Drosophila melanogaster: one gene and its partner. The protein of the gene in region 2 interacts with the protein of the main gene of each other region in a pairwise test. Each region holds a gene or a part of one and is shown on either strand. Other genes may lie near its edges.

Region 1 (7,382 bases), 6.9 Mb from region 2:
AGGGTTGGGGGGTGCAGTTAATGGCGCACAGGCAAAGAGCAACAGCTGCTAACGATGTTGACGCGCCGATGACGGCCGCAACCAAATGGGCAGACAGAGCTGCGAAAGAGAGGACAAAGAGGACGATGAGCAGCAGGCGGAGGCGGTGGACGGCGGAGAGCACAAGAGCTTGGCTCTTTTATGGCTAAAAACGCTAATGTGACCGATGGACCGATGTAGGGGGAAGTGGGAGGGGCAGGGATAGGGAAGGGAGCATGACGGAGCGCAAAGCACACGCAATAAGCCCAGGCAGCAAGAACAACAACAGCAGCCACAAAGCAACACAAGCACTCGGCAGCTAGAAGAAGACACCCTCAAAAGATGGAACACCGCAGCGGCCACTATGGCGACCCTTGCCATTTCCCATTTCCCATTCCTCTTTCCCTACCCCCCATCCTTACCGCCCTTCTTCGCACCCACTCACACTTACACTACCGAAATTAACGCACAACAAATGAAGCACACGCATGTGCCGCCGTCGCAGTCGCAGTCGACGTCGGCAGCGAACTCAAGCGCACATCAACAACTACAGACACAACAAATGAGCAGAATTGCATTTTGTGCATTTCGACCCGCAAAAAGTGTAAGCTGGGCACAAAAATGCAAATGACAGGCGGCAGACAGTAATCCCCTATGGATGAATGGGCTAGCGGGGGCGGTGGTGGTTGGTGCGTTGCGCGAGGGAGATGAACTGGCCGCCCATTTCATTCATCGAAGTTGCTAGGGCCCATATACACCAATCAAAGTGAGTCATAATTGATAAGGTGAGTAGAAATACTTTTAACTTAAATAATTTCATTTCAAGGGGTATTAAACCAAAAAAAAAAACCTTAATAACCTTTTTTAACTATATGTTCAGCAACTGTGTAGATATACGCTTTTATATTAATTAAAGTGTAAATATTAACCTAACCTAATAAACCGTCCAACTAAGAGTACTTTGTTACATGTTCAAGTATCTAAGTTTTATTCAAGCATTTCAATTATGAACGAATACTTCTAGTTATTTTATGTTTGGCTAGAAAATCATATTAACAGTATCCGTTTGGTTCACGCATAAACTAACCACAATAAAATGTATTAATGCATTCCCACCTCAATCCTTTGCAGATTTGGAGTTGTTTCGTCGGATGCCAAGCATACCATGTACTACTGCTAGGTGACCGATGTGGACAAGGCAATAGGTGGCGGCGGCGTGGACGACGAGATCATCGAGGTGGTGAAGCTGTCCCTGGAGAAGGCCAAGCGGATGATCCAACAGGCAGCCGTCAACAAAAGCCCGCCCAGCTTGTTTGATGTGCCCGATGCGTAGGCCTAGAGGCGAACGTTGTGTTATAACACTCAACACTAACCAATACGAATGCTTTCCAGCTGACCCGCATTGTGAGGGCGCCTAGCGTACACGATATAATATTGAAATTCCCGTGCCCGTCGAGGCTTAGCTTATGATATGTATACCGTGTAATATATAATGCACCCTGGCCAGATGTCCGCTTATGAATTCGGTCAGACGTGTCATCTCAGCTGCGAGTTCCACTCCCACCGCGGCTGCCAAGTGCATAAGTCGCCTATAAATCAAAATGCCGCAAAACGGGTTCCTCTTTTCTCCGATCAAAACCCATCCGATCCGATTCGATGTGATGGGACCTGGTACTGTGGAGGACCAATACCCATACGTACCCATCTCATCCTATCCGAAGCCCCTGTCGGGCAGATCATTAAATGATCATTAAATATATTATAAAATCCATTTTTGTGATAGAACGTTGTCTACCGACATTTTTTTTTGCTTTCGCTTTAAGTTACTACATAAATACATATGTATTTAATCGCACGCGCAGAGCGGCCAAGCAAATCCTGCAGGTCAACGCTGCGGCACATGTCGCACACACATACGCACAGTGGTAGGCGCCCACCACCCAAACACACTCGCACACACACGCATGCAAATAAACGCATAGTAATTGCATTGGCACGTTGTATAAATAAATTTGCAAGTGTGTGTCGCTGCTGCCGTTTATTTATTAAACGTTGTTGTTATTGTAGCTATCATCAACTTGCCAGGGGAAGTACAGAGTGAGTAAAACGGATCAGTGAGAAAGTGCAAGAGAGTACAATCAATTTCGTATTGTAAATAAAAAGAGAGAGATAAAATAAATTTCCCAACTCACACGGTATCATTAAATGTAAGTAAGGAACAATAAGTTCTATTTGTCAGTTATAATTGAGCCGCCAGTGGGTTCGGATCAGTTTCAATTTATTAGAAGTGCGCCTGTGTGAAAAGTTTCCCTTCTCCACTAACAGAGGCAAAAAAGGAAAGCAAAACAAAAATAAGAAAATAACCAGCAAGGCAGAGCAAGTGAAACGGACAGAAAAAACTTTCATTTTCAATGTCAAGCAACAATAAAAACGTCTGCCGGTTGGGGGAGGCAATTTTGTGATGAGAGAGCCAAAAACAAAGAGCGGGATTAAGAAAGAGAAAGGAAGAAGGTGAGAGAGATCTAACTTTCATTGTACAAGAGCATGAGCATTGGTAGCAATTGCTTGCTATCTCTGTTGCCAGCAGAAAAAGCGTTAATTTCTTTTCGATTTCCGACTCAAAGATTCAAGAACACGTGCAATTGTTGCTGGTTATCAGAGAGCGAGAGAAATAGAGAGCATGAAAAACAGCTGACGACTGCCTTTCTATGCATCTCTGTTACACATCCTCTTGTTTATTTACACTGAGAAAAACAGTTTTACCATTTACTTTAAATGCGATTTTGATACCATCTCATTCTTTTTATAAGCACCCTGTATTAAATCAAATTAAACAAATCGTAAAATTTAGTTTCACTTTACATTTATTATTGAATAATTATTATTATATATTATTGTCTTTATAGATTTGAAAAGTTTTCCCATATCGTAAGTGATGTATTGTTACTTTATTTATTTGTTATTAAACGTTTGTTTTTGCTCAGATTATTTATTTTGGCGGGAGAGCGCCACACCGCTCTCTCCTTTTCCGTCACCTCACACCATGTGGTTATAACCAGACGCGTGGCTTTACAACAACAATAGTCTTACAACAATAGATGCACATACTGACACTCGCCGCACACTTACACTCGCACAGATGGGCAAAATATTGAAAAATTGCCAAAATAAGAGACCAGACATTTTTCGAATGTCGAAAGCAAGACATACTATAGACACCATATAAAATAATGGGAAGACCTCTTGAAAACTCACCATGCTCATAAGGCGAAAAGGTTCCAGCATCTATATTGATATAGGGGTCAATCTTGATCGAGGTTACATCCAGACCACAGGATTTCAAAAGCGTTCCGAACGAGGAGGCAATCACTCCTTTTCCCACGCCACTAATGACGCCACCAGTTACCAGGATGTATTTCATCCTTTCGTCTCGAATGTCAATCTTTGGGATCACCAAATGTGGAGGATTATCGTGTTATCGGTTCAATTCGCGGTGGACACTCAATCTGAGGCAATCCGAGCCACAATTTATTGTTTATTTGCCTTTGCTGCACGTGGTTTTAGAAATTGGATTCGTTTAATATCTCATACGTATTTATGGTATGACCACCGCTCATTTCATTGAGAATACCAGTGACTCACCGTGTGTTGTTAAACGTCACAAAAACCGCGCGGTTTCCTATGCATTAAAATTGAGTTCCCGCAAAAATAAACAAGAATCAAATGTAATTTTAGCATAGCAGTGAGGACTGGTTACATATTTATTTGGAAACTTGCGATTTAAATCTAAAGAAAAAATGGCCTATAATTCGTATTACTTTCCCTTGTTTATATTTTTACTCTTTGTGTATAGTTTGCGTTTTTAAAAGGAATTTCACGTTTTATATTACCAATTTTAAGTGTAAATAAATCATAATATCCGGTAAATTTGAATTGTCATAGATCCAAACAACTTTAAATGTGCATATTTAAAATTATATTAAATAATTTAAAAAGAAATTTCACCGAGAAAAAATATTTTTTGAAAATAAACATCAAATTCATATTGAAGATAAACACACTCCCATTTCAAAGCGCAAAGCATTAAATGTTGCATATTTATTGAATTTTATAAGAAATTATTGAATTATTGAATTTTATTTATACAAAAATAAGAAAACTTTGAAACTCTGTAAATGCGTGCCAAGCGAAAGAAACTCCTTGATCAACCAGTTACTTGCTGGCCTCCTGCTGTTCGAACAGAGGATACTGTTCGGTGACACTCTCCCAGGTGGTTCTCGCCGTCGACAAGTCCTTGACGACGCCCACAACCTCCTCCAGACCGACGCGCACCTGTTTCATAGTATTCCGATCTCGCAGAGTCACCGTATGCGGTTCCTTTAGAGTGTCGAAGTCCACGGTGATGCCATAGGGTATGGCAATCTCATCCGTGCGGGCATACCGCCTGCCAATGGATCCACTGGAGTCGTCCACCTTGTGCGAAAGTTCCGCCTTGGTCAGGGCAGAAGACAGTTTCTGAGTATAAGGTTGAAAGTCGGTGTTGTTGGACAGCGGAAGGATGGAGCACTTGATGGGCGCCACCAGAGGCGGTAGCGTAAAGTAGCACCGCTGCTCGTCGCCGTCGCGGCATTGGAAACTGTGCTCCAACAGGGAGTACATGATGCGACCAATGCCGAATGAAGGCTCAACCACACTCGGGATGAACTCCTCCACATGGACCGTTTTCGTAGAGTGCTTAACGCTGATGGTGTCCTTTCCGAGATCGTGGCTTTGGCCATCGGCCGTGGTCAGTTTGTATTGACCATCGCCAGCCAGCTGTTCCTCTACCTTGGTTATCTCCTCCAGCGAAAGCTTAGCCAACGCATCCGTGATGTTCTTTGCCTCCTTCTTGAAGGTCTTTCCGAGAGCCTGCTTGTTTGGCACAATCTCGCTGACCTCGACCGTTTTGGGAGCCGGCAGACGCTTCTCGGCCACCAAACGCACACCTGTGGCGGCCGTATGCTGTCCCAAATCGTAGGCACTGCGATCCGCACATCCTACGCACTCCACCCATCCGTAGGAGGTAAGAATTTCGGCATCCCAGCAATCGCATGCATAGTGAGCCATCTCATTGGACATGTGCTGCCGGAATCGCAAGCACTCCGGTTTGATACCAATGGCCAACAGGAACTGCTGAATGCGGGCCATATAGTAACCAAGTGTCTCATTAGCCACCAGTTTGGATGCCACTGCTTCGCCGATTTGCACCTGAGCGGCAGACTTTCCATCCATCTGGTTGCACGCCGAGTAAAGGGTCAACTTTTCCGATTTGATGTTGCCAAATTTGGGATGGTCCTTGAGCACGGGATCACAGAAATGTTCAATCTCTGCCATGGTGAACTCTCGCACACGGATCAATCCCGATCGGGGTGAGATTTCATTGCGGAAGGAGTTGCCAATTTGAGCCACAGCGAAGGGAAGCTTGCCTTGATTGAATTCCAGCAGTCGCTTGAAGTTGACGAAGATACCCTGGGCAGTTTCGGGCCGCAGGAATCCCTTGACCAAGCCAGTGGGTCCAATTTGGGTGGCAAACATCAGGTTGAACTCAATCGGTTCTGTTAAATCATTGCCGGTTAATGGAGATTTGATGTTGTATTTGGCCAGGACACCAGCCAATTCCTGTTTGTTCAGGCCATCCAGTTTAATGATAATATCCTCACACTCGGCCTGCAGGGCGGGAGTTGCATCCTTGGCCTTAGATAGCTTTTCCAAAGCCTGCTTAATGAGATGATCCAGGCGGAAGCACTCGCCGGTCTTGACATCCTTGACCATCAGATCAGCGAAACGCTCCACATGACCAGAGGCTTTGAGCACAGGTTCGGGAGTCAGAATAGAGCAGTCCACCTCCAGCATTTGCTCTTCGAGGGCGAAATACTGACGCCATAGGGCCAGAATGTTGGACTTGAGGGCACAGCCCATGGGTCCAAAATCGTACTGGCCGGTGATGCCGCCATAAATTGCGAAACTCTGGTCGTAGAAGAAGCGACGCTTGAGTAGATCCTCCATCTTCGCGCGATCGAAACTAACGACACTGGGGGTCAGGGCGAGCTCTTTGTCCTCCAGCAGCTTCTTGCGTGCCTTCAGCTCGGCTACTGCCTTTTTCACATCGATCTCGGGGGCACCCTTCGCCTTGAGATCCCTCACCAGGTTACCCTGCTCCTGAACTCGTTCCCTCAATGGGGCAAGTTGAGCCTCAATCTCGGGATTCGACATGATGAACTCGGCAGCGGCGGATCTTAGTTTTACCTTTCTATTTTGCTTCTTGGTGCCCCAACTTGTGGTTGCAGCTGGCTGCTGCGGTTGCGTTGGTGGAGGTGGTGGTGGTGCGGAGGGAGTAGGTTTTGTGGTAGTGGTGCTAAAAAACACTTTCGTGGCAATGTGCTCGCTCCACGTTGTTCTTGCAATCTGAGTTCTCACGGCTGTGGTGGCGCTGCGCAGGTGGGGTAGCGCTTTTAACAACTGCAATGACATAAAGAGGCTTTTATTTTTTCAGCCGAAAAACGCGAATTTATGTAATAAACCGTCCAATTGGCTACTGCTGCAATACCTTCACTTTCGGCTGCAATTTCGACTTGGATGAGTCTTAGTCGGCCGGCTTGCAGCACTGTCTTTGCACAACACTGATTATGGTTAACAGAGCTGCTCAGTGATGCGCAATGTTGCGACTTTGGTAAATGTTATTTGTTTTTATTGTTTTATATTTATTTTTTATTTGCTATATTTGGTAAATGTGTCTTGGATAGTTTGGTTTCAACATAGTTTCAACATATTCTTTCATCTTTACTTATAGTTGAATAAGCGATGGAATTATTATTTAATAATATTAAAAAATTAATTAAATTTAAAAACAATGCTCTGATAAAATTAAGGTATCCCAAAATCACTGTTACCGTGTCGGCAACATTGATCACTTGTCCCTAACAGGGCGGCTGATAATAACAGCACCTTATGATGTTTTTCAGCACTCCAGTACATCGATATCGGGTAGGGCCTTCTTCGTTATCGATATGTTTAGTTTTTGTTTTAATTATGTAGGCGCAGCATTGCAGTCTGGTTTTTCCCATATAATTTGCTCAATTTTGGTTTAGTTCGGCCGAACTCAAGTGCTGCCCAAACCAATTGCTCAAACGCGTAGCGCACAAATTGAAAAACAAGCGGTTAATGTGAAAAACAGGACGAGTTTAGTTGTTTTCTATCCGAGGGGACGCGGCGTTGCAACAACAGCGACGCTATGCGACCGCATTTCGAGCGATAAAACAGAAAGGTGTGCTTCTCTCTCCCTCTCTCGGCACTCTCTCACCTGAGCTGCTAATACAAATGTTGTT
Region 2 (7,300 bases):
CGACTGACCCACCGCAGCCGCTGCTCGCGGTTCCAGCGTAGCGCCGTCAAACTAATTTGGGATAGCAAAACATTTGAGTTTATGCTCAAACTTGGCTAATTCCAGCAGATACCTCTTTGCTATCTTTTGGGTTTAGTGTCTCGCGCATGGACAGCGACATGAGCAGCTCCTGGGCGAGCTTCTGCTTTCCAAAGGCCACCGCTCCGCTGGTGACCATCATCACTTCACGTCCTTCCAAATGGCACTCGGCAACCTATCGAGGTTTTGGGTGAAGAATTGAAGAAGATACGCATGTAATAATATCTTAGAATATGACTTTGTGCCAGTTGTTACTTTTCCTGCTGAAAATATAGATAGAAAAAATATTTAATGCCTACCTGCTCCACAATAGAGGCCAGACGGCCGAGGGCTAGTCCATGGTTGTCCTCTCGAGTAATGACTGCACTGCCCAACTTGACCACCAGCCTCCGGGCGTACTTCAACTGACTCCTTTCCGTGAAGGTTGGATGCGCCTTTTCCAAGCGCCGCTCCGGCGAAACCAGCTGAAACAGGTCGAAACATAAAGCAACTTATTCGGGGCCATTTCGGTGTCTTATCGCCTCAATCGGCAAAGCCATAGAGCTAAGGGAGGTCATAAATTGCGACAGCAGAAGAGTAAGCCATAAAAACAACAAATCGAGGCATAAATTGCAATCCAATTAATTAAATATTCCCCGTCGAATGCACCTAATCAGTGCGTAATCAGCTAAACTTAAAACTGCAATCCCGAATTCCCTTTCCCTGGCCCTGGCGTGGCTCTTTTCGAATTCCTAATAATCGTTGTGTGTTAATTGGTTTTTAAGCCAGCGGCGTGTTTTCCAAAAGTCAGTTAGCCCGACACGCAGTGCATAATTGAATTGCACAATTGCAACATTGGATCATTACCACATAATCCGATCTTAAACACGACGTCCTCTGATGATAACGGCTTTAACCTTAAATTCAAAAATTTTTACCTGCCTTCTGGGTATTCAGTATTCTGAAGATTAAATACCGAAATGAAAACCCATATTGATTTGTGGAAAATAAACTTTAAAAAGTTTTCTCCAGAGTCCTGAACTGAGGCATAAGAAAAACGATTATTTATTATAAAATTATCGACGAGAAATCTTAATAGAGAAATCTCGATAATATTTGTTTAATTTAAGCCCTAAAGGTTATATACTCTTTCAGGGAACTTTTCAATTGAAAAATTATTAACAAATATTTGCGGATGATTTTTTTACTTCATTCAATTCATCAATGTATTTTTCAAAAGCAATTAAGAAAAAGACGACTTTATAAACAATATCAAAATATCCTTTCAATAGAGTACCGAAGGAGGATAAGATTAGCGCGTTGAGGAGATAACTGCTCAGAAAACAAGAGAGTAAACAGCAAATTTGTTTTTCCTACCCCAACAGATGCAGTTCATCATCCCACCTCGCTTGTCCATCAATCAAAAGTATTTTTATTAGCTTTTTTTTTCTTTTTGGCCCCAGTACCATCGGTTTGTTTGGGCGGGGGCTTCGATTGCCTTTCACGCGCAATAACATCCAATCGGGGCTTTTTGTACGTAGAACTCGTCGCGTTTGTCGTGTCGATTATTTCAGAAAAATCAAGTCAAATTGAGGCGTAAATATTTTGATTTCGTTATGTTCGTCAGACAATTCTGATGGCAAGTATCAAGTGCAGCTCAATAAAAGCACCCGTCGACAATCAAGAATGCTCTGTTTGTTAACTTGGTTTAATTGTTCGCCCGTGCCTTATCACAAAACAAGTTTTTAGCACTATCGCAAAGAAATCCAAAAGCAAAGCGACCAATAATTTTTACGACTGCGTCTGGCTGAAAACCGCCGGTGGAACCAATTTTGTTTTCCCGGCTCTCATGGCGTATGCGTGATATCGAATGCAATTAGTCGAAGGTCAGGAGTCGCCTCGGACCTCGGCTCCCATTTCGATTTTTTTCTAATCGAAGTGCAGATAGTGACCGGAATCGACTGCCACATCTTCTGCCCCTTCCGTCCCGTGTCTGAGGCCTGTCAAATGCGATGACAGTCCGTGTAATTACTGAGCAATTAATGCTGGTGCTGCCACATACATGAGTTCTGGCTCCTCGCGGGCTTCACACTTATCTACAGTCCGGCCCAACTTTGACGATTTCTGGCAGCCCTCGACAGATGTTCGGGAATGATGTTAGTGGATCCCCTGACACGATGTCGCCCCTTCGCTGGCTGCCATTTCTGATGGGCTACACGCGTGTTTCCCAGTGCTTCATGTTTACACGACATTTTTTGTTTGACTTATACCTGGTACTCGTACAGCAGTAGATGGGAGTATTAGAGGCAAGAGAACTTATACTCAAGTTTAAGCTAGAGTTTAACGGGAAGTGTGAGTCCCGAAAATAGTTTTGTTATTATAACTGACCAATGACAAGTACAATGAACTATGTATATTTATTAACCATTACCCAACGAATTTGTGGATTTTGGGAAATAAAATGCGCGGAGTAAGTTTAACACAAAATATAAACTTTGTAGAAGTTGAGGTAACCCAGTACTGAGTTAAGGTAAACGGTATTAGCCCTCTTCCTCATTTAGTTATGATATTAGCATTAAATGCCTTGCAATGTAAATAGTAATTGTAGTTTATTGGCCATCACAGCCCTGAAAGTTGGAAGTTCCACTTATACAGCTAACTAATGGGTAATAAAGGTCTGGAGGTCTTGGAGTTGGTACATTGACAAATGCATTGAGAAAGTATACTCATTTATTTAACTTAATGTGCACGTTATTTCTAACTGGATTTTGAGAAACTGCTTCAAAGCGATTCTTATGCCCACTAAATGTTGTGTATATGGGTATGACCACCAGAAGCCTAGACTATAAAAACATTTTGTTTCCTATATTTTCAAATAACAGAAACATCACCCAGCTGCATAAACTATAATGCAATTGGAAACCTTTTTGAAATATATGCATTATTTCTTGGGCATAAGACGAAGTGTTCTTCTTAGCTTTACATTGCTCACATGAATCGTGCGCAGGGTATCTTATTGTCGGATGCATATAGTTTGCTTGTTTCGATAGACTTTTTATGATGTGCCTCACACACGCACAGCTTGAAAGAGAGTCGAGACCAGGACCAAAGGCGCCATAACTGCCAACACGTGTCAAAATGAAGTGAGTCAACGGGGAGGTGGCGCCGCATGGGAATGGTGTGGCTTGGAAGGGATGCCTGGGTGGCCTGGGGTGGCGGGTAAAGGGTGCTCCACGACCCTGACCTAGGCAAATCGTTTTGAGTGTCAAAGGCTGGGCCTGATGTTGGACATATGCAAATGCGGCGGTGACGGGAAGGGGGAGCCCGGGGGCAGGACACACTCGCAGTCCTTGCCTGAGGGCAAGCGTCACCAGTGTTGTTGCATATTTAAAGGGGTTTTAAGTTTATTGCGAAGCCCTGCCTTTCATTTCCCTTTTCCCCCTCCTGTTGTGTGAAAATACAATATTTACACTTTTAGAATTTATTTGAACACGTTTTTGCATTTGCTGACCCAATAGTCCTGGCGGTCCACCAGCTGTCAAGCTGTGACAACATTTTATCAGCTTGTCGGGCACTTTTCCCACTCCCCACCACTCGACAATCGCCTGGTTTTCATGTCAGTGGAAATCAGACCGAAACTGTAAATGATTTACAGCTCCGATGAGTGGGAGTCCTTCGCCCGATGGTCATTCAATTAGCCTGACTCCCCGCTTTTGACGGTCCATTTGCCCCAGTTTATGACCTGGTTTAGGGTTACTCCAAAACCCTTTCAAGCTGTTGTCGGTCGGCCATAAAGAACTTAAAGTTAAATCGCACAACAGTGTTTTGCCTCTTCGATGTGGCTCTGATAAGACATAAGTGGCAGGGAAAATTTTCAGCAGGCAGGCATAGGGTGTCCCCCAATCAGCAGAAGCTGTTGAAAAGCTTATGCAATCAAAACAAAGCACTAGACTGAGAAGGGCCGCTTGTTGCTCATTATTACTAAAGGCATGTGTTCGGTGTATCTGGGGAGCCTGAATCTCCCAGACAATGGCTTCACGTTCAGTCGTCATGACTCGGGCTGTCATAAATTTCTTCGCTGAAATGTACATTAATCGACGCTTATCGGTCAATATACTGTCAATTTTTAATAGCTAATAAAATATGTTTCTCTGTGTGTGCATATGTAAGTCTGCTTAATAGGGTGGACCTTAGAGGGCACTTCAAATATACATTTTTCTGAATGTTCGTTTTCATCAGGTTAATAATTCTTTCTATTTTATAATCATCAATTTTGATAATGGACAATTTTCCTTTGTGGCTAAGGACACAGACTCCCACTCTGAACAATTTTCCAACCAGTTTCGCCACTGCACAAATGATTCTCCCCACCTAAACACAAAGAACTGATAAGGATTGATCATCATCCAAAGGTCCATTCCGACTAGCACAAAACCGAGACGGACTTTGCATTCAAGAACTTTTCCATCGCCACCAGACGTAGCATTAGGTCGTAAAATCACTGTCATCGCACTGTGCTTATATAAACATCACTCACTGGCTGCCGGGGTCCGTGGGAGCTGAACGCTCGCCAGGCGTTTCTGTAGAAGCCGTTTCGAAGGCTCTGGGCCAGTTTGAAACTGTTTTGCAGCATTTTTGGGAATCGAGTTAGAGGGGATGTGTTTTTAAGGAGCTATTACAAATCACGGAACGCGCACGGAACCGAACCGTTAAGCCCGACGATTTCTACTGCGGCGAACCAACGGACTGACCGCCTTGGTCGCTGGTCGAGATAATGTGGGGCGAGCATGTGTAATTGTAAGTGTTCATTGCGATTGCGATTAAAATTTGGTGTACGGTGGACTCTCTCAAAGTGTTATCAGTCAAGCAGCTATCACTCTCCGGTAGCTTGGACTGGGACAAACATTGAACCGGGGAGAGTACGGGTCTTATCAAGTGCAGCAGGCGGCGGAAAGTGGGCTTATCTGGTGACTGGCTGTTTGTCAGGTCAATGGAGCAGTGCGTTTTGGTAGTGACGATGCAAGGTGCCACACGAAAACCCCTTGATGCAGCCAATCATCTTTGGTCCTCCACGTCAAGAGAAACGAAACTTCGTGTTCTTCACAGTAAATTGCCCATCAAATATCACTGCCACTCTAGCACTGAAAAATACTTATAAAAAACTGGCCATTTAAAATATTAATTAACTGTTGAATATCTCAACTTGTTTACATCGATGAAAAGCCCCTTGACAGTCGCAGAATTTCAACAGGCGCATAATCAGTGCACATTGTGCAACCATCCTGCAGCCTTTATTTAATTATTTTCAATAGCGTCAGCACCAGTAATAAGGGAAACGACTGTCAGATTACCTGTGAAATGCAGGCTCTTCTAGCTCAGAATGTCCGGAATGGATTCCGCTGAACAGCAGAAACCAGTCTAGACTAAATGCCCGACTGACACCCGGGCGCAGAATTTTTGTTCTTAATTAAGTGACATTAAAAAGTTTTGTTCCAGCTTTGTGCATAGTTGTTTCCCTTCGTGTCCTTTGCCCCGTGTCCTGTGTCCCGAGTCCTGTGCATTGTCCACGATTGCCATTTCAATGCATAGAAAAGCCATAAAGCACAATACCAAATGGCAACAGGCAAATGGCAACTTCTGGAGGGGCCGGGTGCTCTTGATTGTTTTGGATAGGGCTGCCTGGGGTCAGATAAGTGCTAAATTATGTCCCCGCTTTCTTCAACCCCACAAAAACTGGAACAAGTTTTTCAATCGAATTGTGCCATTGTTTATGACTCGATCTAGGTTATGTTTGTTGCACCAGCGACACAGAACATTCGCAAGAAAACTCTCAATCTATATGCCTCGGAGCAAGTAAAAAAAACGAGAACATCACGCATACGCCAAGTAGGCCAAAGGAATGCTAAGAATAGCTGTAGCGTCAAGCGAAATAATATAGTTCAGTTTCTTCTGTTATGCAATGAGTTACATTGCTGGTTTTGTGCTTTTTTGAGACTTTTTTTGCCAGTAGCTATTCAATTCTGGAGTTCTTTCAAATAAATATGTAAATATCTGCTTGTTGTAACTGTTTCCTCTGGCTGAATGCATTTCGGCGTGCGCTTTCAAAGAGTTTCCCAATTTAAATCTAGTGCAGAAACACAGTATTCGGCAACTGCTATAAAGCCAACAAAGTTGTGCCCCCCTTCATGAATATCGGTGCGCCATCGAATCGATGGCTACCTTCCGTTTGACCAACCGAGTTCATTACTTAGTCGTGTTCTTCGCCCGTAATCTTGGGTTTCAGCACTTGGCAAGCCAGTGGCAGACCTGGCTGCTGGTACTGCGCGGGTGGAACTCCCGTCTTACCTTCTATACCTAATGTATGCGCATTGCCAAAGTAAGTCCTGTCAGTCCTTGGCGAAAGGACTCTTCTTACGCCCTGGCCCGCTTGCCCCCTTGTGCCTTCTTTGCGCAGGCAGTGAAAAATTCACTTACAAAACACTTACGCTGACACCTTGCCACACCCCCGCGCACACACACCAGTATCGAATGGGCGCGGCTAAGGTGCATTGCTGCAGAAACTTCATCAAATCCAAGCTAATCACACTTTGATTTGCATTTTGTAACGAAGAGGAGCAAGAACTTTCCAAGCAAAAAGCGCATCGCCACCACGAGCACTTAACTCTGAGCGTTGCCCCGACATTGATGAATGAAGAAGCCCCTCCTTTGTCCTGCTCTTCCCCACCCCCCGACATTGCCATCGCCTGCATCTGGTAATTATGCTAATGAGATGTCTTCAGTTAGAAGGGAAGTAGACTTGGCTGCCTCTGCCACTTCAGTTAAATGCAATTAATTATATTTTTTATGCCACCAAGAAACTTGGGGATTCGATTATATAAGGTCATAAGGATATGCAAATGTAAGGGGTGTTTTGATGGCTTTTAACTGTATAATACATATTAATTAGGGTATTATTGATTACTGTGGGTATGTACGGATAAGAAATGCTATCTTGGCACTCTATTCTTGAAAATTGTTTAACGAGTCCAGAGTGGAAAACACCTAGATATGTGCAATAGTAAGTACTCTACAAGATTCTCTGGTTAATACTTTGGTCATCAGCTTGATCCTTTCTAGAACTCGGTGTGCTCGTACCCGCCGTTGTCGTACAAAGCCATATTGTTCCGGTTTGAGGCCGTAAAGCTCACCTTCTTGGCCATCGGCACCACAGGCGGTCGCTTTCCAGCCTTCGGAGTTGGCGTGC

The links. Proteins that work in one complex are often made in the same cells at the same time.
Region 1: the proteins of P5CS (region 2) and Ctps interact in a two-hybrid assay, tested with the Drosophila melanogaster proteins (one study listed by BioGRID).

The regions. Positions count from the first base shown.
Region 1 is NT_037436.4:15,094,408-15,101,789, reverse strand, and holds the start of Ctps (CTP synthase), read right to left. Parts: upstream 3,877-7,382; 5' UTR 3,440-3,876; coding exon 3,274-3,439; intron 3,257-3,273; exon of another isoform or gene 3,003-3,256; intron 2,947-3,002; exon of another isoform or gene 2,925-2,946; intron 2,530-2,924; exon of another isoform or gene 2,288-2,529; intron 1,737-2,287; exon of another isoform or gene 1,150-1,736; intron 804-1,149; exon of another isoform or gene 1-803. Other genes in the region: GlyRS (Glycyl-tRNA synthetase), read right to left, coding at 4,231-6,528. UniProt on the Drosophila melanogaster protein: Catalyzes the ATP-dependent amination of UTP to CTP with either L-glutamine or ammonia as the source of nitrogen. Constitutes the rate-limiting enzyme in the synthesis of cytosine nucleotides.
Region 2 is NT_037436.4:21,969,537-21,976,836, reverse strand, and holds the start of P5CS (Delta[1]-pyrroline-5-carboxylate synthase), read right to left. Parts: upstream 4,836-7,300; 5' UTR 4,691-4,835; coding exon 4,595-4,690; intron 543-4,594; coding exon 378-542; intron 254-377; coding exon 113-253; intron 52-112; coding exon 1-51. Other genes in the region: Chs2 (chitin synthase 2), read right to left, coding at 7,170-7,300.